Linked DNA regions of Rhinolophus ferrumequinum. The protein of the gene in region 3 interacts with the protein of the main gene of each other region in a pairwise test. Links are inferred from orthologs where the notes say so. Each region holds a gene or a part of one and is shown on either strand. Other genes may lie near its edges.

Evidence for each region.
Region 1: the proteins of PNMA1 (region 3) and RTP5 interact in binary tests that used the Homo sapiens proteins (3 or more experiments, as listed by UniProt). The two-hybrid records come from large-scale screens. The link is inferred for Rhinolophus ferrumequinum from reciprocal best matches to the Homo sapiens genes PNMA1 and RTP5.
Region 2: the proteins of PNMA1 (region 3) and MCM7 interact in binary tests that used the Homo sapiens proteins (3 or more experiments, as listed by UniProt). The two-hybrid records come from large-scale screens. The link is inferred for Rhinolophus ferrumequinum from reciprocal best matches to the Homo sapiens genes PNMA1 and MCM7.

Annotation. Positions count from the first base shown.
Region 1 is NC_046291.1:29,891-37,765, forward strand, and holds the start of RTP5 (receptor-transporting protein 5), read right to left. Parts: upstream 3,140-7,875; 5' UTR 3,084-3,139; coding exon 2,932-3,083; intron 1,431-2,931; exon of another isoform or gene 1,308-1,430; intron 1,115-1,307; coding exon 1-1,114.
Region 2 is NC_046290.1:90,388,692-90,396,533, reverse strand, and holds the start of MCM7 (DNA replication licensing factor MCM7), read left to right. Parts: upstream 1-4,703; 5' UTR 4,704-4,830; coding exon 4,831-4,861; intron 4,862-5,330; exon of another isoform or gene 5,331-5,464; intron 5,465-5,647; exon of another isoform or gene 5,648-5,711; intron 5,712-6,040; coding exon 6,041-6,120; intron 6,121-6,466; coding exon 6,467-6,631; intron 6,632-6,787; coding exon 6,788-6,912; intron 6,913-6,986; coding exon 6,987-7,167; intron 7,168-7,487; coding exon 7,488-7,625; intron 7,626-7,842. Other genes in the region: TAF6 (transcription initiation factor TFIID subunit 6), read left to right, coding at 1-358; AP4M1 (AP-4 complex subunit mu-1), read right to left, coding at 735-959, 1,152-1,263, 1,425-1,475, 1,718-1,762, 2,056-2,150, 2,247-2,353, 2,503-2,556, 2,667-2,733 and 7 more. UniProt on the Homo sapiens protein: Acts as a component of the MCM2-7 complex (MCM complex) which is the replicative helicase essential for 'once per cell cycle' DNA replication initiation and elongation in eukaryotic cells.
Region 3 is NC_046289.1:24,573,029-24,580,250, forward strand, and holds PNMA1 (paraneoplastic antigen Ma1), read left to right. Parts: upstream 1-4,748; 5' UTR 4,749-4,832; coding exon 4,833-5,894; 3' UTR 5,895-6,644; downstream 6,645-7,222. Other genes in the region: MIDEAS (mitotic deacetylase-associated SANT domain protein), read left to right, coding at 1-2.

The sequences.
Region 1 (7,875 bases), on a different chromosome or scaffold from region 3:
ATGCAGCCCCCCCCGCTTTATGATGCTGAGCACCGACAGGGGGATGGTCAGGGAGCCCTTGCACTTGGAGCTGGGGCTGGGCTCTGGTCCCACCCGGATGAGGCCACTGCCACCCTGTCCCCAGTGCCCATCAGTGAAGATGAAGGGGAAGGTGAGGGAGCCGTTGACGTCAGAGGGGTGGCCCTGGCCTGGGATGACGTGGGCTAAGGACGAGGGGAAAGTGAGGGAGCCATCACCATCTTCTGTGAGGCCAATGATATAGGACACAGGCAGGAAGTCCTCTCCAGCTGGTCGGCCGCTGCTGCCGGAGACCGTGCCCGGACCCTTCCTGTGCGTGCCAGCCGGGCAGGACACAGAGCCGTGGCCTTTGTAGATGAAGCCTGTGACCTGGAAGGGCTTGGTGCTGCTGAGCAGGCGGCCCTTGCCGTGGAGGACGGGGGCCTTGATGTTCACCAGGACGCCCCTGCCCTTGGACGTGGCTGTGACGCTGGCAGGCAGGTAGATGGAACCTCTGTCAATGATAAGCGGTCCCCGGGCACCCTGCCCAGGGCCTAGAAGTCCCCTGTCACTGCGTGTGCGCACGAGGGAGAAGGGGACGGTGACAATGTCGATGTCCTCGCTGAAGAACTGGTTGCTCTCAGAGAGGGGGCTTCTGATGACGTCGGGCATGGCAGGGGGCACGGTGCTGCAGCTGGGGGTGCGGCCCCGGGCACGGAGGACCACAGGGCCACTGCCGCACACAGAGTCCTGGCTAGGGCTGCAGCTCCTAACTTCAGGGCCCCAAGCAGGGTCTGGGGGCTTCTGGAAGAAGCAGACCCCCAGCTCACAGGCCTCACACTGGTCCCCGAAGCAGATCTCGGGGCACTGGTCAGAGCTGAGGCCCTCACGGTAGCAATTGTGCAGGACAAACAGGACCAGCTTGTGCAGGAAGAGCCGCACGTTCAGGAGGCTCACCTGGCAGTGTCCCCGGGCGTCCCGCGGGCACACCTGACAGCCCTGGCCCCACACACGCATCTTCACCAGCCCCAAGTGGTTGTCTTCGTCCCACCACACATGGAAGAGGATGTGCACGTGGGCCGAGGACCAGCCCCACTGGCAGCGGCCGCACTGGAGCCTGGGAAGAACAGAGGCAGCAGTGAGAGGAGGGGACGGGGCGGCCGTGCTCCCTGGTGCCCCACGCCACTCGGGGGCAGAGTGGGGCCTTTGCCTGCACCCCATAATCTGAGACGCAAATGCCTGTTTGGCACCAAAGTGCACTGGGTGGCCAAGCCTGGCTTGACACACGTGAGGGCTCGCTCTGCACTTACTTGGGGCTGCGAGCTACTGCATTTCTGTCATATTATGACTTGGAGCTTCAGTGTCTTGAGGAAATGTCAGCAAAAAACAAAGACAGGCCTGTGGATACCGGTGAGAGGACGAAAAGAAGGCATCTGTGGTGGACAGACAGGCAGGGCTGAGGAAAGGGCTGTGGGGCCTCGGAGGGGGCAGCCCACCCCAGGGAGGGAAGGTGACAGGAAGGGAAGTAAAACCAGGGGGCAGGGGCCTGGGTGATGAGGACGGAGGAGGGGGTTGGGTGATGGGAACAATGCAGCAGACAGACAAGCATGGAGACAGAGGAGGGGCGGGGGTTCCTGGAGGATGGCGTGTGTCCTGGGCCCTCTGGCTTTGACCGTGTGAACAGGGGAGCCGCACTCCACCCCTGCATGGAAGAGGGCCAGCTGCTTGGGTCAGCGAATACATGGTGAAGGTGCTGGTGCCCCAAGCCATCTGAGGCTGCGTGTCCCAGGGCTGGGCAGTTGGGGCCTCTCTCCAAGACCCTCAGGTCACAGACGAGTCACCCCTGTGTGGCACATGCATGCAGGCATGGGAACCCACATGCGTGGGAAGGCTCCAAATGTTCCCAGGAAGCCCTGCGGGTCTGTCCTTAGAACTTTCCGTGACTGTGGCATGGCTCTGCCTCTGCGCCAGCCTGCAGCCACAAGTGGCCGGGGAGACTGCCTGTACGTGGAGAGTGCCCTGAGGACCGAACAACCAACGGTGTTGCGATTTCATTAATGAGCACGTCACAAGCCACACGTGCCGGAGGGCTGAGGAGGAGAATGTAGGTTTCTGTTTGTGACCATCCCACCAGCTGGTGTTTCCATTGAAAACTGAAAACCTGCTTGGCAGTGTTCCCCGTCCTCACCTGCCATTTAGAGCAGTTCTTCACTTTGGCTGTGGGAACAGCCAGGTGTTTAAAGTGCTTCTCAGACCTGAGAAAGCCAGCATTCCACGGCAATCAGGCCCGCTCCCCCACTGCGCCACCTCCCAGCTCTCCTTGAGGACTGGGGTGCCTGGCTAGGTGGGGCTCTGCAGCTCTGGGCCATCCCACTGGACTGACAGCTGTCATCATGACACTGATGACGATGATGATGAAGACGGAGGCTCACACAGTGACGCGAGGCCACCAGGGCTCCCAAATGGCCTCCCACTCTGCCGTGACCAGGCGGGGCACAGCGCCCCCTTTTCTAGGGCCGTGCCCCTCAGTGCACCTCTCCGCTTCCGGTCCCTCAGGCCCAGCTGCAGTGTAGGGCTGGGTGGTGGCGCTGCCATGGAGACCAGGAGATGCGCAGTAAACCGATGGAGCCCTCCTGAGTGGGTGACCATGTCACCCCAGCAGCCCCCAACTGGCAAGGCCCCACCTGGGCTCCAGGGGTCTAGCACTGCCAGGCAGGGTCTCTGCCTGTCACTGAAAGGGATCACAAGCACCCAGCCACCCACCTGTTGGGGGACAAGAGCAGGCCGGACACATGCCCCTCTCCACATGCCCAAGTGCCGGGATGCACCCAGCCTGGCCTTGGGACTCAGGCCCAGCCTAGGGCCAGTGGTCAAGCAGCCTTCAGCCCCTCCCCACCCCCAGGACCCAGCAAGAGGCCCCACCCTCCACCGCACCTTGAAAGCCCCCTCAGCCGGTACTGGAAACCTCCGCCGTCCACATGCCCAAAGGCCAAGTTCTCGTCAGGGACCAGCTCCCAGGTGTCCTGCGGCTTACTCTTGGCCATCAGCTGGGCCAGTGTGCGGGCCCACACGTGCACCCCGTCCATGCTGGCGCTGGGCCGCAGTGCGGACTGAGGCTTGCCGGCTCTGGCTGGTGGATGCCTCTGCAGCCCCACCCGCCGACCGACCGCTGCCTTGACAACCGGTCAGTCTCCATGGCAACCGGTTTGTCTCAGAGAAAGGAGAAACAGGCCTCTTTTTCTTATCCTTTTTTAATATTTTTCATTACGCAAGCAATCCATTTTCTTTAGGACAAATGAGAAGCAAACAGATAAATGACGAGGAAAAACAATGCAAGGCGATGACATTGCGGGGCAGCCGGCCACCCAGAGACCGTCTGGAGCTGCACGTGCACATGCAGATAGTCCAGCGCTCTTGTCACAAACAGGAAACCATGCTGAACATGTCACCTGAAGCCTGGTGTTTCCCTCCACACCGTGCCCCAGACAATGCCCCACGCTCTCCCCTTCAGCATCTGGTGTCTTAAGGCCGGTGGCTCCACCTTGTCTGTCCTGCCTGTTCCCAAGCTGCTCAGTGATGGTTCTCTACCGTCACAAACAAGGCTGTGAAGAACTTTAACTTTACGTGTCATTGCAAATTTTCAAACTTTTTATTGGCTATAAATGTACATCATTTACGTAAAAATGCCTAAAACATACACACACAGCTTCATGAACTTCTATAAAGTCTGAGGTCAGCACCTGAAAGAAGCCAGCCTCCAAAAGCTCTCTGTGTGTTCTTTCCCACCAAGGCACCGCCAGCCCCCTGGGCTGGAAAACCACCACCCGCCCAGTGTGCGCCCCAGCAGCTGCAAGGGAGTCCGGACAATGTTTTCTGTGCACATGTGTCTGGCTTCTCCCGTCTTTTTGGGGTTTTGTGTGTGAGTTTCAAGAGCATGCATAGCTGCAGTTTGTCAGGTGCAATGAGAACAAGTGAATTGAGGAAAGAATGGCCAATGTTCAAGCAGAGTGGGGAGGAGCCTGACCCCTGGACCCCAAGGGAAGGAAGATGCAAATGAAGCACAAAGGAAGTCCACCTTTGGGTGCCTGTGGTTGAGGAGGCACCCTCAGGACAAGGGCCACACAGAGGCATGACTGTCACACCTATTCAAGCCGCCATACTGAGTGAGCAGGCTTTTCCACGTGACTGTTGACAGGCAGTCAAATGGGACCAAAACCATAAAACCCCCGCTCAGCGTTGGTGTTGCCCAGTGAGGCTGACAGGTACCTGCCGTTCCCCACACCCCGCAAGGCCTTGTCCCCGAGCATCGTCCACAATGGCCCAGACGTGGTGGAGAGCACACTCTCCCCCGGCGATTCGGCAGACTGTCCTGGGGGACAGCCAGAGTGAACCAGGGGAGTACCCCTCCCCCGATATGGGCCCTTGCCACATCTGTGTGCCATGTGCTCCCCCAGGGCACATGGAAGCGCTCACTGCAGCCAGCCACGCTTCTCGTCCACAGGGACAGAGTGTGTGCTGTGTCCCTAGCTGAGAGCCACCACGCCTGCTGGCCAACGGTTTCCAGGTTCTAGAACCACAGCCTCCACCCCTTCTGACAGGTGACAGGCTGAGAACCAGGCCCCTCCGTGCCTTTTCTGCAGGCTGCAGAATCCTAAGTTAGTCGCCCTTCATTCAGCTCTTCAACTCACCAGTCTGAGCCCGCCACCTGCTCGGGCTGACATCCCAGGGGCTCTTCCCTCTCGTGCCACCTTGTCGTGGAGTGACTATTTTATCGTTCCATTCTCATCCTGCCACAAACTTGGGTGCCACTCTCTGTTTCTATTATTTTGCTGGCGGCCATAGAAATTCCAACACACAAATTTAGGATAACCCTAACCTGAAGTAAATCAAGACCTTCAGAAGGATGGAAGCGGTGCTCTGCCCTCGCCTACGCGCTCCTCCTCGTGGAATCCAGACGCGCATGCGCCTGCCCTTCCCACCATGCTGTCCACGTTGCCATGACTCTGTCTCTCTAACATGCGAACTGTAACCCGTCTCTCTAAGCTGCACACTCTAACCCATCTTTCAACCTGCTGTCACGCGGGGCGGCCTGCGGGGTCTCGGGTCCCACTCCCCACATAAGAACGCAGGATATGCTGAGGCCAAAAAGGAACACCCACGGAGCCATAGGTAGGGGAGTCACACCACTATAGTCTCACTGGAGGCTGGTTTCACACGACGTGCAACCTGCTGTCCGCTTTTCTGCCAACCGACCAACTGTCCTCGACTCCCCTCGACTCCACTCCCCAACGTAGCTGCGGCAGTTATATTAGTGGCCAGTGGCTCAATGGTTACAGCTGACGGCCATCTACTACCCGAGTCAGCACCTTTCCACGAGAGGCCGAGAGCCTGGAAACTGCTCTCTGGGCCTCTGCCCCCCCAGTGTACTTCCACCGATTTTTTCCAAGTCAAGTTGTTGTCTTTCAGTCATAGTGGAGGGCGCAGTTCAGCTCCAGATCCAGTTGCCATTGATAGTTGCGGCGGGGGACACAGCCCACCATCCCTTGCGGGAGTGGAACCGGCAACCTTGTGGTTGAGAGGACACACTCCAAACAACTGAGCCATCCGGGAGCTCAGCGGCAGCTCAGCTCAAAGTGCTGTGTACAGTCTTAGTTGCAGGGGGTGGAGTCCACCATCCTTTGCAGGAGTTGAGGAATTGAACTGGCAACCTTGTGGTTGAGAGCCCACTGACCCATGTGGGAATCGAACCGGCAGCCTTCAGCGTTAGGAGCTCAGAGCTCCAACCTCCTGAGCCACCGGGCCAGCCCCCTGACACTTCTTTTTGGTTCTTTCAACCATGTGGCATCTTTGCCTGGCAGCTAAGTGTGACAGTAAGATACAAGGTATGTGCCTCCAAGAAAGTTCCAGGATGAGACCAGATAGCTGGGCATCATCCGACTCCTTCTACTCCACTTTCACCTTCTTCTGGTCCACAGTGCAGAGATGATGGCCAGCCCTCCAGCAGCCATCTCAGACCATGGGGTCACCTTGCTGAGGGAGCAGAAAGGTAAGACCTGGATTCCTGAGAACAGCTGGCATTGCCCTCCTACTTCCAGGCAGGTTACTTCCAGATTTCTTATTCAAGACAGAAATAAACTTCTGGCTGCCACTGTTTCTTAAGGCACTGTTTTCTAGGGTTTTGGGAGTATCACCCAGCCAATCATAACAAAGCTAACTGATATTCTGGGACTATACCTAAAGTCCAGGGTTTTGGTACACACATACACATGTTTACACATGAATGCACATATAGGAACATACATGCCTACACACATGCAACATATATACACATTACACACAAACACACACATTTGGAAATTTAAACTATAAATTCACATTTAAACCACTAACAGCATTCTAGAAAGTTTGGAAAATAAAAGGGTAAGAGTTTCCTGTGACCCCCTGCCCGCCACCTCAACAAACAAAAAATTCAGCTAACTTTATTCTTGTGTATAGTAAATGGTGAAAATACTCCATTCAATTTGTTTAATTTGGCTCTTGAATTGGGCAGCTAAATTAGGCACCCTTCTTTAACTTCTGGGAAATGCTTTAAAAACAGGACAGAACAGAAAGTTTTTATTTGCAAACACTATTAACCATTTCCTGTTCCAACCTCAGAAGTAGCTGTGCCCCACAGACGGTGGTGGGTCACTGACATCACCACCGGCCTCCTCAGAAAGGTTTCGGGATGATCCTGCTGCTTCCTGGGTTTCTCCCCACTGATGGAAACTGCCTCAGGAGCGCGCGGGGGATCCCCTCTCCCCCACTTTCCATCTGTGCTGGCGCATGTTCCACCGCCCGCTGCGTGCGCGTCACCTGGGGCGGTCACCTTGGAAACTCTAGAGCTCTTCTCCCCAACCAGATGGGGCCCATACAGGGAGCTTTCACAGCCCCCAGGACCAGCTGGGTCTCAGGAAGTGGGGTGTAAACAGCCCCGGGGCCCCCTTTGCTCGTTTCTCTTCCTCCTCGGTCCAGCAGGAAGCAGGTGGGCAGCTGGGCTCACCAGACAGCAGGAGAGGACACCGGTGGTGCAGGAGCTCACGCCAGCACCCGAGACCAAGGTGGCCATGTGCTCCCAGAACCGAAGCTGACTCCACTCAGAACCCGCAGCACAATCAGCAAAGCTCAACAGAGAGGGTCCAGGCGAGCCACTCGGCCCGTCCGGAGCTCTGCTTGGGGGTCAAAGGTGCCCACGGAGACATGCTTACTCATAGGCCAAGTCCACGGGTGGGTCACACTGTGTGAAAGCCCTGCCCAACAGGCCACACACAGCTCACCCATTTGTATGCGTTGTGCAAACACAAAGGCACAGAGATGGAGGCACAGCAGGTGGCAGCTGGGACATGAGGCAGGAAGGAGGAGGGCCTGGTAACAGCGGGCACGTGCCCTCGCATGGAGAAACACTGTGCAGCAAACACGCACACAATCAGTGTGTGTGGTGGGGACAGTGGGGCCCTGAATATGACCCCCACGTGGCCGTACCCAGATCAGCATCCTGGCTGACTATGGATGGTGACCGTGCAAATGTTATCACTGAAGAAGCAGGACTGAGTGTGCAGGGCTGGCTCTTTATTACTGACACTCACGCGAACCTACAGTTACTGATAAGGACACAAAATGTCCTTCTCTAGTGCAGAGCCTGTTCAGCTGGTGTGCTGGGTGATCTCAGACGCCCCCAGCCCAGAACCTGGTTGTTAGAGAGGGTTAGATTTGAGGGCAAGAGATGGGCGACCCTGGCTGTGACCCCAGTTGCAGCCTCTTAAGCATGAAGTGCTGAAGCCAGGACACAGGGCAGGGAGGAGAGGACACAGGAAGGGGGCAGATGGAGCCCCCGACCTT
Region 2 (7,842 bases), on a different chromosome or scaffold from region 3:
GCCTGGCTCAGGCTCTACCACTACCTCTCCCGTTACCACCACGGTCCCCAGCGTGCAGCCCATTGTCAAGCTGGTCTCCACCGCCACAGCTGCACCCCCCAGCACTGCCCCCTCTGGCCCCGGCAGTGTCCAGAAGTACATAGTGGTCTCTCTTCCCCCAACCGGGGAGGGCAAAGGAGGCCCCACCTCCCATCCTTCTCCAGTCCCTCCGCCATCCTCAGCCCCCTCCCCACTTGGGGGCAGTGCCCTCTGTGGGGGGAAACAGGAAGCTGGAGATAGCCCCCCTCCAGCTCCAGGGACTCCAAAGGCCAATGGCTCCCAACCCCCTGGATCTGGCTCCCCTCAGCCTGCACCTTGATGCTGTCAAACATCTGTCAACATTCTCTTCCTCAGATTCTCTCACCGCCTACACACACACACACACACACACACACACACACACTTACTAGGTGGAAGGAAGTAGCAACCTGCTTCCTACCTTAACTTTCTTTTTAGATATTGTACAGCCAGCTTTTCAGAATAAAAGATTGATTTATAAGTTCTGTTCCACCTCAGTCTTTCCTGTGACCAGTACTATGGGAGGGTCTAACCCATTGAGCCCTCATGGTCTCTAGGACTTAGACTCTTCCAATCAGATCCATAGCCATACACCAGAAGGCTGGAATTGACAGTATCATCCTTCTCCCCAGCCACGGACCACCGCCTTTGCTGCCTATGTCCTCATTTGGGGAGCCTCAGATCCGAATGACATAGGCATCACTGTGGCTCAGGTGTCGCACCCACTTGTGGGGATTGGCGTTGCTGCAGGGTCTGAAGGCCAGTCTGAGGAAGCGAACCTGGAGGCCAGAGCACGTGTGCCGGGGAAGTTCAAAGGAGAGGCTTGCCGGGCCTAGCCCCAGAGGAGGGGCTGAGGTGGAGTGCCCTTGACTGGGAGGCCCAGGCAGGCCAGGGACGTCCATCTGTGGGAGGCAGAGGCAGGGGGAGGGATGCTGAAGGCACAGAGAGGGAGAGGAAGGCGGGCAGGGAAGTCAAGGGGCCAGAAAGCTGACCACGCTGGCGGGGACGATGCAGCAACTGCATTAGCAGGGTTGGGTCAGAGGGCTGAAAATGGAAGTGGGACAAGAGGGCTTTAGAGAATCAGCCGCTAATACCTGGAAAAGGCCTGAGAGCTGAGAGCCGCCTTGCACCCGAGGCAGGTCCCAGCGAAGGGCTCCATCCCCCAGCTCTGCCTTCTGTTCTGGGCTGCTCAGCTCCTGAGATAGGCTGGAGTTTAGAGACAAAAGGTGCTGGGCTCAGCCCCTACCTGCCTTGGGGGCAGGCCAGTTCCACCCCATAGTGCACACTTTCCTCCCCAATGCCACCCAGTTGTCCAAGGAAGTTAGTAAAGCCACCCAAGCAAACCCCCACGTTAAACACACACTAACCTGAGCACCCCTCGAGGTAGGGGAAGGTGCATCCTGACGTTGAGAGCCTGGCTGCACAGTGAAAGGAACAGAGTCAGCCCCAGGAAAGTAGTGACTTGTCCCCACACTTCATTAATGTCACAGCTGGAATGCAGTACAAGGGCCACCTCATCCCCTTACCAAACTCTCGAGCCTCAAACTAAACTGGATTCTGAGGCTGGTGGCTGCATCTGAAGGTGGAAGCAATAGGTATCTGGGCCCTGTCTCCTACTCCCCATAGCTGAACTAGTCTTGGCTACTACCCCCACTCGTACCTCTTTGGGGGCAGGTCACATCGCAACTTCAGATAAACCTGGAGCCTAGGTGAGAGTACAAATACTGTTACTTGGGCCATATCCTACTGCCGTCTCACCATCCTCCACCCAAGCCCCCACGTGTGGCTGTGTTGGTTGTGCCCCGGGAAGGAGAGAGAAAGGCTGAAATCTACCCAATTCCACTAGTCACTAGAGTTCATGGGGCTGAGTCCACGGGAGGAGGGTACCTTTTTCTAACTTGTATTCTATACCACTACCACCACCACCCCTCCACAATAAGACTTGGGAATATTGGCTTGAGCTCTACAGAAGTTCTAGAGCAGAGAAAATGGTCTCACCTGCCAGAACCTCGGTCCCACTGCACAGAGGGAAAGAGCCGGAACGGGAGCGGGGAAGGGAGGTCATCTGAGAGTTGGTACCGCATCACAGTCAGCTGAGACCAGGAAGGAACAGAGTCGGGTTAGTCCCCTTACACCTGAGCTGCCTCCCTTCCCGAGTAGATGGAACATCTAAGCCAGTCCATCCTGACCTCGCCCTGAGGTGGCTGCAAGTGGAGGATTCGGTGAGACTCAAACTCATCAAGGTGCACCGAGCTGTGAAACGAAACCTCATCCACCCGAATTCCCGGCCCATAACCTGTAAAGACAGAAAGACTCCTCTCCTGACCCATATACTGGGAGAGAAGAGCAGGGGTGGGGTGGGGTGGGGATCTATCTCTGACTTCTCTCCACCAAACCTCTGGCAGTGACCTATGCCTAGGAGAGAAAGACCCACTGTCTCCTCACCTCTCAGTTCTGACTTGCCCACACAAAACTCTTCTGTCAAGCCAATGCGCATCTCTGTCAGAGGAAAGGACATCAGATCGGAAAAGGCCATCAAATACCACCACACAGATCATCTAGGAGGCTGTCCCAAACCCAACCCTGGGCCCAACCTGCAAACTTCTCACCAGAGCCACTGGGAAGAAAGCTCTTGAGTCGGATCTCTCCCTGCACGTCCACCTTCAGCAGCGAGCCCTGAGAGTGGCCGGAGATTAATGCCCAGAGGCCACCTCCCCAATAGTTTCCCAGATACATCTGACCTCAGCTCCGGGGAACTTACATTAGATGCTATCAGCACAGATAGTCTCTCGACCACATCCAAAAACACTTCATTCTTTTGGCTCTGAGGAAGAGAGGAGATTTGGGTGGGTGGAGGCTGAACCACCTGTGTTCTAAAGTGGACAGGGCAGTGGAGGCTAGGGCCCTGGGGTGGGAACACAAGGTAAGAGAAGGGGTTGGATAATCCACATCTGAGGGAGGTGGAAAGATACACTGGGAAATTAGACTCTGGGGTCCCAGAAAAAAATCAGAGGGTCTGAACCCGTTCATCCCTCTCACCTGGTCAGAGCGGCTGGACAGGACGGGGCGGCTGGCTGCACTGCTCGGGGCCACTTTGCTCTGTTGTGTCTCAGCCCCAAACTGGAAAGCACCCAAAGCAATCAGTCCTCAGGTCTGACACTCGCTGCCAACCCTTCCCCCTCCTGGTCCTCTTTCCTTCACTGACCAAGCCAACACTGCTGAGGTCAAAGAGGCTGAAGGGCTTGCTGACCACAGCCTCGGTCTGGATGAAGTTCCTCAGCATCTCTGTGGATGTGGTCTGTACGTAGCCATAGTCCTAGGGGCAGAGGAAGAACAGTCTTTGCATGGCTAGCGGAGGAAAGCGGTGAAAAGGAGTGAACTTAGCCTCCCAACCGAGGAACAGATCTTCAGGGAACAGGGACAATGAGGAAAATCCTTGGACCTTACCAGCACTTCATCCAGGAGTTCATAGACAAGCGCCACATTTCGGGAGATGGTGCCCTCACCCAGGGAGCCACAGTAGTCGCCCAGGAGAGTGGCTAACCTGAGGGAAAAGAATGGAGTGTGCATCTTCTCCTCCTCCTCTCAGACCCCCAAGCCCAGCTGCCCAGCCCTGCCCTCCTCACCGAGAGAGCAGCTCTAGGAGACTGAAGGGAGAAATGTTTTCTGAAGTCGTGGCCACCAAATACAGGCCGCTGTGTCTGATGTGAATAAAATGACGGTCTTCGTGGTGCTGAGGCAAAGGCGGGGGTGGGGGGGGGGAGCGTCAGGAAAACAAAGCTGTGCTTAAGGACCCATGAGACGTGGGCTGGTATCCTGATTCCCCTACTTCAGAGCAGTGCGACCTAGGGCGAACTAGAAATCTCTCTAGGGCCCCGCTTCCCGAGTAAGTGGAGTTAATAATAGTTCCTACCCAGAGGTGCCGAGGATTAAGACATGGGTGGATCCGTGCCTGCTATATAGTTAGCGCTCAGTAAACTCGTTAACATTATTTGGAGGAATGCATCCACCAACGGGAAGCTCTCAAGGAAGCCCTAGGAGGGAGGGAGGAGGCGCCCCCCTACTCGACCTTGCCTGGAGTACCACTCCCACTCCCGTGTGGTTACCATGACAACCGGGGACTCGTCTCCGGGCAGTCCCGTCAGCTTCCGGTAGAAGAGCTCGGCCACATCCCGGCCGCCACTATCCCCACGGACTGACGGGTTGAAGGACAGCTAAGGAGCTGGCGACACGGACTGGCTCTGGGGCACTACTCCCATCCAGCCCACCCTCCCTCCCCCCACGGACCTGTGGGGTCAAGGATACAGTCCTTGTAGATGAGCGGGTCCCCCTTGGAGGACAGAATGAAGAACTGGGAAATCATTGCCGTTCTGGAGAGTAGACAAGGAGACTTCGAATGTTGGGCCTGCCCCTTCCTGCTACCCGGGAACAAAAGGACGCTCGTGGACTGGCCCTTTAAGAGCGATTCTCCTCCAACGCGGGAAACCCGGTGCCCGCCCAGCCTTGCCCAATCTGTCCCTTCAGACGCCCGCACCACCTCCCCGTCACTCAGCCCAGGCTCGCTCGGTGATTGGCGGAGGCTGGAGCCTGCGGTGAGTGGGAGGGACGGAGGGCCTCTTCTCGGATTGGCCCCCTCGCAACGGCGCCGGTCACGTGTTGGGCGACGTTTCGCGCCAATTTCGGTTGGTCAGCCACAGTCCGCCGCGCGGACGTTCACTGCTGTCGAGGTGATCCTTGAGCCCGCTAACTGCTGCCGTAGGGCTCTCGGCAGCGATGGCACTCAAGGACTACGCGCTCGAGAAAGGTGAGGGTCTGCAAGTCTGGGAGGGGCGTCTGGCGCGGGAAGCGTCCCGACCAACACCTGTTGGTTTGGGCTGGCGTCCTGGGGGGCCGGGCTCAGCGCGAGGCCAGACCCCGAGCCCAAAGCGGTGGAGCTGAGGAAGACATTGCCTGGGAGGCACGTGGAAGACTAAGGTCGGAGAAGACCTGGTGACCGTGCCCGGGAAAGAAGTGGGGCGGGGGAAAGCCGGCCGGCTTGGTGGCTCCAGTGGGGAGGGCCGCGCCCAGGAGAGACCGGGACCTCAGGAGACCCTGTCTAAGGCGCAGTGTTGAGCACTCCCTGGCTCACTTTCATCCGCACTTATAAGCACTTCGAGTGCCCGCGTTCTCCAGAGACGCGCCGAAGCTCCGGGGGCGGGCGGGCCTGGGCCGCTGCGCGCAGGGATTGGCCATTTTAGGCCAACCTCCAAGCGGAAGTGAAGGCGGGCGGAAGTTGCGCGGCGCCTCTGGAGGGAGTGTCGTGTGTAAACAGTGTCCTTCCGCGCGGTGGCCTCGGAGAGAGCTACTGAGGGTTGGGGAGTGCCTGCAATTGGGAGTTTTAGTGGGAGGCCGAGAGAGGAGATAACAGGTGGGACCGAGTGGCCCTGGACGAGCTGGCCAATAGTCGGAGGGGCTCACGCCCTGAGCGGAGGAATCCCGGGCTGTGAGGCGGCGGCATCTGGGCCCATGTGCTTCTTTGTTTACTAAGAGCGGAAGCAGTGGCGGGAGAGGGGGTGGGGTGAAGGATGGGCCTAGTGGCAGAGATTTAGGGGAACGAAAGAAAAGGGGGAATCTTCCATACGCGTGGAAGAAAAGCTGAGAACCTTGAAACCTGAGTGTGTTGCTGGGAGTGGGGGGCCTTTGGGAAAGGGCGCTGAGATTTCTAAGGCAGAGACTGGAATTCCCCTAGGGGAGGGTATTGGGTGGTACTCTAAACTGTCCGGGGCCCCTCATTATTCTCTCGTTAAACACTGACTCGTGAAAAGGAGTTCTGCCCAGTCTGGGGAGGATTATGTAGGGTTATTTAAATGTTCATATGACTAGTTTGTTTAAATGAAATGGTTTAAATGGAAGTGAGTTTCTTGGATTTCTATCAGAGTGGTTTGCAGTAAGGTATCCGAAAGAAAGGAAGGTTGATTCTCATGATTTTATGTTTACCTTATAGAAAAGGTGAAGAAGTTCCTACAAGAGTTTTACCAGGATGATGAATTTGGCAAGAAGCAGTTCAAGTATGGGAACCAGTTGGTAAGTCTACAATTAGGTAGAGGGGATGGGCTGGTTGCTTACAGGAGCTGTAAGAAGTGGCTGGACTCACTTCAGCAAGTCCATTTGTAAGTGACGTGTTTACAGCCATATGGTATGCCAAGTGAATATAATACTACATTTGTGATAAGTAAGGTGTTTTTAGGAGTTGGGAGGCTGTCCTTTGATAGCTGAGAAGTGAGTATTGCTCTGTATCACACCGCTCTTTCTCGCTTTTGGAAGCCTGGAACCTGTATGCTGAACTCATGGTGATAATGTCTTTGCATGTGAACGCTGGTGAGCATGGTAAACTTGGTTCTGGAGTTTTGTTGATTCTTCCCCACCCCAGGTTCAACTGGCTCATCGGGAGCAAGTGGCAATGTACATAGACCTAGATGATGTGGCTGAGGAGGACCCTGAGTTGGTGGACTCAATTTGTGAGAACACCAAGCGCTATGCGAGGCTCTTTGCTGATACCATACAAGAGCTGCTGCCTCAGTACAAGGAGAGGGAGGTGAGTGCAGGAAAATGCAGGGCAAGGAACTTAAGATTTCTGTCAGGAAGCTTCTCACGTTTTCTGAACTGAGGAAGGGGGCAGTAATTTCTACCTGATGTTCTTTATGCCCCATCCTGCCACTCATTTTTCCCGTCTTCTTCTGTATACCTGTAGGTGGTAAATAAGGATGTTTTGGATGTTTACATTGAGCACCGGCTGATGATGGAGCAGCGGAGCCGGGACCCTGCGGCTACCCGAAGTCCCCAGAACCAGTACCCTCCTGAACTCATGCGTAGATTGTGAGTGGTCTCAGTGGGGAAGAGTATGGGAATTTGTCCTCCAGGACCTTGCTAATGACTGTTTTTTCCCTTAGTGAGCTGTACTTTGAAGGCCCAAGCAGTAACAAGCATCGTGTGATCCGGGAAGTACGGGCTGACTCTCTGGGGAAATTGGTGACTGTGCGTGGAATCGTCACTCGTGTGTCTGAAGTCAAACCCCGAATGGTAGTGGCCACTTACACTTGTGACCAGTGTGGGGCAGAGACCTACCAGCCGGTATGTATGGAGCAAGGAACAGGAACACACTTAACTCTGTTAGTATTTTCTGTAAGAGTTTTGTGTGCTGACGCTGATCTGTTATTTTGTCTGTTGTGAAACACATCTGTGTGTATATTTCTCATTCTTTTTCTGGTATGTAGTAGTTTTTCCACGTGTTCTGTGTTCTTGATGCCTATCCCTGTTGACCCAGAATAGTTCAAGATCATTCTTGACAATTTATGGTATCTGCCATCAAGAGGAAATGTGATTCAAGTGACTGACTCTAATTGGTTCATTTGCTTCTCACTTTCTTTGGTGTTTTCTTTCTTACATCCTAGATCCAATCTCCCACTTTCATGCCTCTGATCATGTGCCCAAGCCAGGAGTGCCAGACCAACCGCTCTGGTGGGCGGCTATATCTGCAGACACGTGGTTCCAAATTCATCAAATTCCAGGAGATGAAGATGCAAGAACATGTGAGTTTGGGATATGTTGCCCAGGGAAGGTGGGGCTTGAGAGTCCATTCAAATACTGTACTCACTCACTGAGTGGAAGAAAGAACAAACGAAGAGCTGAGGCAGAGAAGTCACCTAGATCAGGAGGCAGGTTTGACTGAAACTTTCTGATTGAGCTAGGAAGAAGTAAAGGAAATCTCCGCTTCCCTCCTCGTCTGGCTTATCTTCTGAGGCTGGG
Region 3 (7,222 bases):
GACAAGGAAGGAAGGCTCGGCTGGAAGGCCCAGGACTGGCCCTTCCCCCTGGGGGGCTGGCCCTCCCTGCACCAGCCTGCGAAAACGCCTGCAAGCGCCCTGGAACCTCCAGACAGAGAGGAGAGATCACGTGGACTTTTCTCTGAAAAACAAATAAGACAATAAAATAAACAGCTCTTTTATTTATAAAGGCCCCAGGAGCAGTGTTAAGGGCTGCAGGATCCAGTTCTCTGTGCATTCGGTCTGTCAGAAGTTGTCCTCTTGCTTTCCTGGAACTATGAGAATCCCTGCTCACTGGGGCTGCCCTCTGGGAGGGGCTCCAGCTGCTGCCACCGCTGCCTCTTACACTGGGACCCCTGCTGCAATGCAGTCTCTTCCCTTTTTGTTCCCCTGCTCCCCTTGGTCACCACGGAGCGCCAAGCACAAGCTCACTACCCCCCCTTGCAGCATTATTCCCCCGCTCCAGAGGACCTCAAATGCCCTGCCCCAAGCCCTGGAAAAAGGGACTCCCTTGGAGGGATTGTGGTGGCCATACCTGAGAGGAAGCTCAGCCTGGCACCTGTGCTGTCCCCTACATGACAATGTCCAGGCCTGAGCTGCTCCAGTGATCCTGTCCTCAAAGAGGCCACCTTCTCCCTGGGAGGGAAGCTACCAGAATTCCTGGAGGGAGAGAGACTAAGGACAGGTACTTATCCCTTTTCTGCTTGCTAATAGCCTTCTGGGGCTGGAAAGTTTTCTCTGATGTTTGGGGAAAGGGCCAATGTCCCTGTCCAAGCTCTCAGCCTGCTGGAGGTAAGGAAACTGCTGAGGATGGAAGCTCCAGGGCTAGGCCTGAGGGAGCTTTTGATGAGCCTTGGATCTTCCTACTTCCCACCTTTTTGCCAAATACTTTGGGCCCTGGAAGCTGCTAAGGGAGCTTAGCCCAGGCCCAGCCTGCCCCTCCTTGGTGCAAGTTCCCTGCCTGCTTCTGTCCTGCCCTTAGCAACTGTCACCTAACCCCACCCCACATGGTCTCTGCTGATAGCCACAGCCCAGCCCCCAGTCCTACATGCTGGAGATTTCTGGATCCTTCCCTGGGAGGGGGAGGTCTCCTAACCAGATTGGACAGGAGCCTTCATTTCTTGACTTGGGTCATTTGGGAGCTATTTATTTATTCTTAATATTTAATTTTTAACATCCTCTCAGGGACCAGGGGCCTCCTGCTTTTCAGAGGCCCAAGTGCATTTATCCCAAAACAAGGCACCTTCTTGTCATCTCCCCGCCCCCCGCTCCCCCCATTCCCAAGACCCTAAGGTCCCTCACCTTGTTGCTCTGGAACTTCTTGCCAGTAGAATGATAGTAACACTGAAAGGATGGGAAGGTGGAAGTTGTCACCAAAGCCACATACAGACTAGGAGGAGCAAGGGACATCAAAGGCACTTCTTGTTGCTACCTCTTCTCTGTCTGTACTTTCAAATTGCCGGAGGGGATGGCTAGAAGCCAGAAGTCTGGTTTTGTTTTTGGCTTGAAGTAGCCGTATTTGGCATGGAGTTCACTGGAGTGAAAGGGCTGGAAGGTTTTGGAGGCCCCTTCCCTTGCCAGTCCCACAGGAGGGCTGAGTTATTTTTCTGATCTTGTTACTCAATTTTAGTTGTGTAAAAGAACCTCTAAGTGAGTGCAAGTAGATATATGACAAGTCAACCTGTTAGGAAGGAGCCAAAAAGTACTCATTCTGCTACTCCTTTTGAGATAGCTTAAAGCATCATGTTGGTAGCCGGGAGTGGAAGGCTGTTTTGTTTCTAAACTATGCACTATCGGGTATTTTTCAGCATTCATTTAATGCATTAATATGGTCCTACAGGACCCCAGCTATGGGAGCAACAAAATTCTAACCCAGTTAATTTCTTCTATAAGCTCGTTAAGTTCAATACCCCAAGATTGCAAAAATCTGGTATACACTCCAGAAAACAGAGAGGTAGCAAATTTAGGCTCTTTTCTAAATCACTTGTGTAATCTGAGTGCCTTCACAGCTTTGCCCCAAAGTGCTACTTATGTTTCCCAAGGTTTTTTCTATTTAAATTGTGTTTAGTTTCAGGCCCCTTTATGAACATGTAACAGAAACCTCCTTTGTCTAGAGTGATTCTCCTTTTCTAAGCTCATAGGAGACCAGACCAGGTGAATGTAGGTAGAGTACATCAAGATGACACCTCTCTGTATAAATCCCACCAGACACCGTATTTTAGAAGGGTTCATGTTCCAGGATAGACATATCTAGAATGCAGTGTGAGAGTTAAAAATGTTTAGAGGGCAAATGCAATTGTGGCAAGTAACGTGCCAATTAAGTAGGTGCAGCCATAGCAGCTGGCATAGGTATATTTTTTATGGTGCTTTCTCCCGGTGAACATATTAGGCTCATCTTTTGTTTCTTCTTCTATTCAGAGCTCTTTGCTTTAAGAAGTTAAATGACAAAACATCTCCAGCTTTATAATGTCCTCCCCACACCATCTCACATAGCCATCTCCCAGCCTCCATCTGCACTCAGTTAAGGGCATGAAACTAACTTAGTGCCTGTGTTCCAGACCATTTCTGAGGTCTCTTACCCACCCAAGGAGATAGTGCTTCAGCACTGTCCTCCATGCCTTCAGCAGCCCCCCTCACAGATAATGTACCCACCCATCCCTTCTGCCACCCCATCCCCACCCCTGGCACAGAGGTCGTGTGCTGCTTATGTCTAAAGGTATCCCCTATATTTAACTGCCTCAGTGACCTAACCTCTTTCTTCTCATGTGCCAGATGCTAAGATGAAGGAGGAATACAATACATACTCAAGCCCCAGCTGTTTAAATGTTTTTACTGGGGCTCACTTTTCTCGGATGGTATTTATTACCAGACTGGCAAGCCTAACTCCTTAGGTTTACAGGAAGTATACATATTTTTATAAAACAATTGTATGTCCTCCACATATTTTGCTGTGTTAATATTTGCCTCTAACAATTTGCAGCTGTTTCACCTTTTCCTCATTTGTCTCTAAATTGAAGGCCTTGTTGGAGAGAACAGAGCACAGGAACAGCTTTGACAGTCTGTAATTATTGTACAAATATTTTAATAGCATATAAATAAGTATATTCCTTTTATTTTGGAAAAAAATGAACAGACACTGCCTTTTGTGTGTTTGCTGCCTGTGGCACCCTTTTTAAAAAAGACTGTTACATGTTAAAATAGTGTACATATATATATAAATATTACCTCTTTTGCTGTACAGTTGTGATAGACCAGACGGAAGATTTTATTTTTTGTGTGCTTTTTATATAAAAAAATTAATACACTAAAGAAAATCTTGCTGATGTGATTGTAATGTACCTATGTAACTTATTTACTTTTGAATGTTCTTCTGTATCTTTAAACCTTTTATTACATAAGGTTTTAAAAATTCAGAGTTGAATGATGTGTTCTTTTGGGGAGATTTTCACCATCTGGGATTGACGTAAATAGGCCTTGTTTTGCTTGCAGAGGATTACTCGACATATTTGAACCATAAGGATTCTGTTTTATCAGCCCATTGTCAATGATGCCAGGACTGGACATTAACACATTAGCGTTTTCCTGGCTATAGAAATTACTAAATTGACATGGATTTTTTTAACAAAATGTTAGACAAGTCTCAACCCAGTGTCTCACAAAAACACATGTAAATGTCACATTTCCAACATTCATTGGGATGAAATATGGAGGGTACAGATGTGATCAGGTGGCACAGGGAAGCCTCGGGGCTGAACAGGGTGTTTTCATATGTAACATTGACTGTACGAACGACCTGAGTAGACAAGCCTGCTTTGACGGATGCATTTTCAACAGTATCATCTTAAATCCACTCCAGAAGTATATCACTATCTTAAACACGGTGCTCTGAAAAAAAAAAATCTGGAAAATATTAAAAAGGCAATGCGCCATCAGAGAAACCAGTGCCTGCAGCCCCTGGCTGGCACCATGGCAACCGCTCGACCGCACTGGCCGCCTGAGCGCGCGGATCTCGCGTCGTCTGGGCCACCGTTGCCATGGCTACACAGGAGCTAGCTGGGCCGCGGGGGCGGAGCGGGAGGAAGCCACTCGCCCGGCCGGCCCCGCCTTCCACTGCCGCAGTATCTCCTCGGCTGGCTGCGGGTCCGACTTGGGGGCAGCAGCGGCGCGCAAGCCCGCCACAGCCTGCGCCTCCGTGCCTGTGTCCTCGGTCCTCGGCTGTCCTCGCCGCCCAGAGGGACCCCTGCACCCGCGAAGAAGCCGCTCGCGAACTGGCCCTGCCGCCGCTGCTGCGACCACAGGACAGTCTCCCTCCAGGAGCGGCAGAACCCTCGTCTGCAAAGCAGCCGCCCCTGAGCCGACTGAAGGCCCGGCTCTGATCGCGAACGCCGGCGCGATCAACTCCTGCAGCAGCGACTGCCCGGCGCGCCCGGGCGGCTTAGAGGAGGCGGCCACACCCCCGCGACCACACCCCGGCGGCCTCTCCAGCCCGACAGCTTCAGCCTCCGCCGCCCGCCCTGGCTCCAGGCCTTCTCTTGCAACGCGACACCATATGTGCAGGTGGAGGACCGGGGCCGCGGACCCCGACCTGAGACGCAAGATGGCCGCGGCCGCGTGACTGAGCATTCCAGAGGCTTTGCTGCGAGAACGCGCCGACCACCGACTTTAGGGGGCAGCGAAAGGACGAGAGCGGGACTCTGGTGTCATTTGCTAATTGTGATTGCATGAAGCATATTGGGTGAAAGGGGAGTGTCTGCTGTTGTCCTAAGCCCTAGAGCACAGGGAGCCACAGTCTAAACCGTATTTGTAGGATTGGGCTCTTGATAGTTGGGAAAATGGCGATGACGCTGTTGGAAGACTGGTGCAGGGGGATGGATGTGAACTCCCAGAGAGCCCTGCTGGTGTGGGGGATCCCAGTGAACTGTGATGAGGCTGAAATCGAAGAGACCCTCCAGGCTGCGATGCCCCAGGTGCCCTATCGAGTGCTTGGGAGAATGTTCTGGAGGGAAGAGAATGCGAAAGCAGCCTTGTTAGAGCTCACGGGCGCTGTCGATTACGCGGCCATCCCCAGGGAGATGCCAGGTAAAGGAGGGGTCTGGAAAGTGGTCTTTAAGCCCCCGACTTCCGATGCCGAATTTTTAGAAAGGTTGCACCTCTTTCTAGCGAGAGAGGGGTGGACCGTGCAAGATGTTGCCCGTGTCCTTGGGTTTCAGAATCCTGCTCCGGCCCCAGGCCCAGATATGCCAGCAGAGATGCTAAACTATATTTTGGATAATGTTATTCAGCCTCTTGTTGAGTCCATATGGTACAAGAAGCTGACGCTGTTCTCGGGGAGGGACATCCCGGGGCCTGGGGAGGAGACCTTTGATCCCTGGCTGGAGCACACCAATGAGGTCATAGAGGAGTGGCAGGTGTCTGATGTGGAAAAGAGACGGCGGTTGATGGAGAGTCTTAGGGGCCCTGCCGCTGATGTCATCCGCATCCTCAAGACTAACAACCCTGCGATAACCACCGCCGAATGCCTGAAGGCGCTTGAGCAGGTTTTTGGAAGCGTGGAGAGCTCTAGGGATGCGCAGGTCAGATTTCTGAATACTTACCAGAACCCAGGAGAAAAGTTATCGGCTTACGTCATTCGTCTGGAGCCTCTGCTGCAGAAGGTGGTGGAGAAAGGGGCCATAGATAAAGATAACGTAAACCAGGCCCGCCTGGAGCAGGTCATTGCCGGGGCCAACCACAGCGGGGCCATCCGAAGGCAGCTGTGGCTGACTGGGGCTGCGGAAGGGCCAGCTCCGAACCTCTTCCAGTTGCTGGTGCAGATCCGCGAGGAGGAGGCCAAGGAGGAGGAGGAGGAGGCTGAGGCCGCCCTCCTGCAGTTAGGCCTAGAGGGGCACTTCTGAGCCCCAGGAAACCGAGCTGTAGTGCAGACCTAGATCACAGCGCTTTTGTCTTGTCTGTGCTCTCTTTTACGCGTGTCTTAGTCAAGTCCTGTTTTCTGGGGGGAAGTCGGGTCTGGGTATTCATGCTAACATTAGTAAACTCATGCAAGCGAGCACCTTGAGCGGCCGCAAGTGAGTCCTAGCTAAATGCCCGGTAAAATGCCGGACCCGAGAGCTCAGTGCAAGCTGTCATCGTGGCATCATCAATTGTGAAAAACATGTGAACTTGTGACACTTCTTATCGAGGTACTTAAATTGCATGTTCAGATGTTTAGCCCAGAGCCTGGCTAACACAAGAAGTGTTCAGTGAAAATACGAACTATTGTTACTAATATCGTGAATGGTTTTTGTGTTTACTGTAAATTGTTCCTGATTTATATTAATGGGAAAAATGTGAATTAATTAGATGTTATCATTCCACTTTACAGTGCTAATTATTTTTCATCTTTAAACATCTGGAACAGTATAATTGAAAAGTATTCTGAGACTACAAAATGGGGTGTTAGAAAAATACTGCAGTTACAGAGCTGTGTAAATTAGAAGTTTTCACTGTACAAGATACAGATATAAATCGCATGGGGAGGTTAATATGAACCGGCTAGAGTATCCATTTCAAATCTTTGTCATTGAATAGTTCTTATTCATGCTGATTGTGTTCTAAATTTGAAGTTATCAAATACATGTATACGAATAAAAATATTTAAAAAATTGTATTGTCTGGTTTTTCTGACTTACAAAAATTTCAGTTCAATTAAAGTCTGAATTCTTTTCAGACTTCACCATGTCACTAAAAAAAAAATCGAACCTCAGTTATTTTATCTTTAAGCTTTATATAATAAATACTATGTAAATTTAAACTGCAGTACCTTTTAATGTATTCTATTTTTGCTTGTTTTCTACAAGGCAAATGTTCGGAGGCTCAGTAGATATAAATAAATATTAGCCTATAAAATGTTAGGAAATCCTACAACGGCATTTAGGAGGTTATGTATCAATGCTCTTTCTCCCCTTTTAAGTCCATTTTCAGTTAAAAATGTTTTGCTGCAGGAATTATATGATAACTTCATACCTGTGTAAAATGAATGTCTCAGTTTTACAGCAGCCATTTTATATTGAGGATATAAAAAGGAAAATAAGGCTTAAAAATATGCTTATTTGGCTGCAGAGATTCAGTGACTAAAGATGTCCATCTTTTGAGATCCTACTAAATCCAGAAGTGATTACATGAACGTAGCATTCAGGGGGGTTTTCTCCTAGTAACATGGCTTTAAAATTATGGCTAACCTATT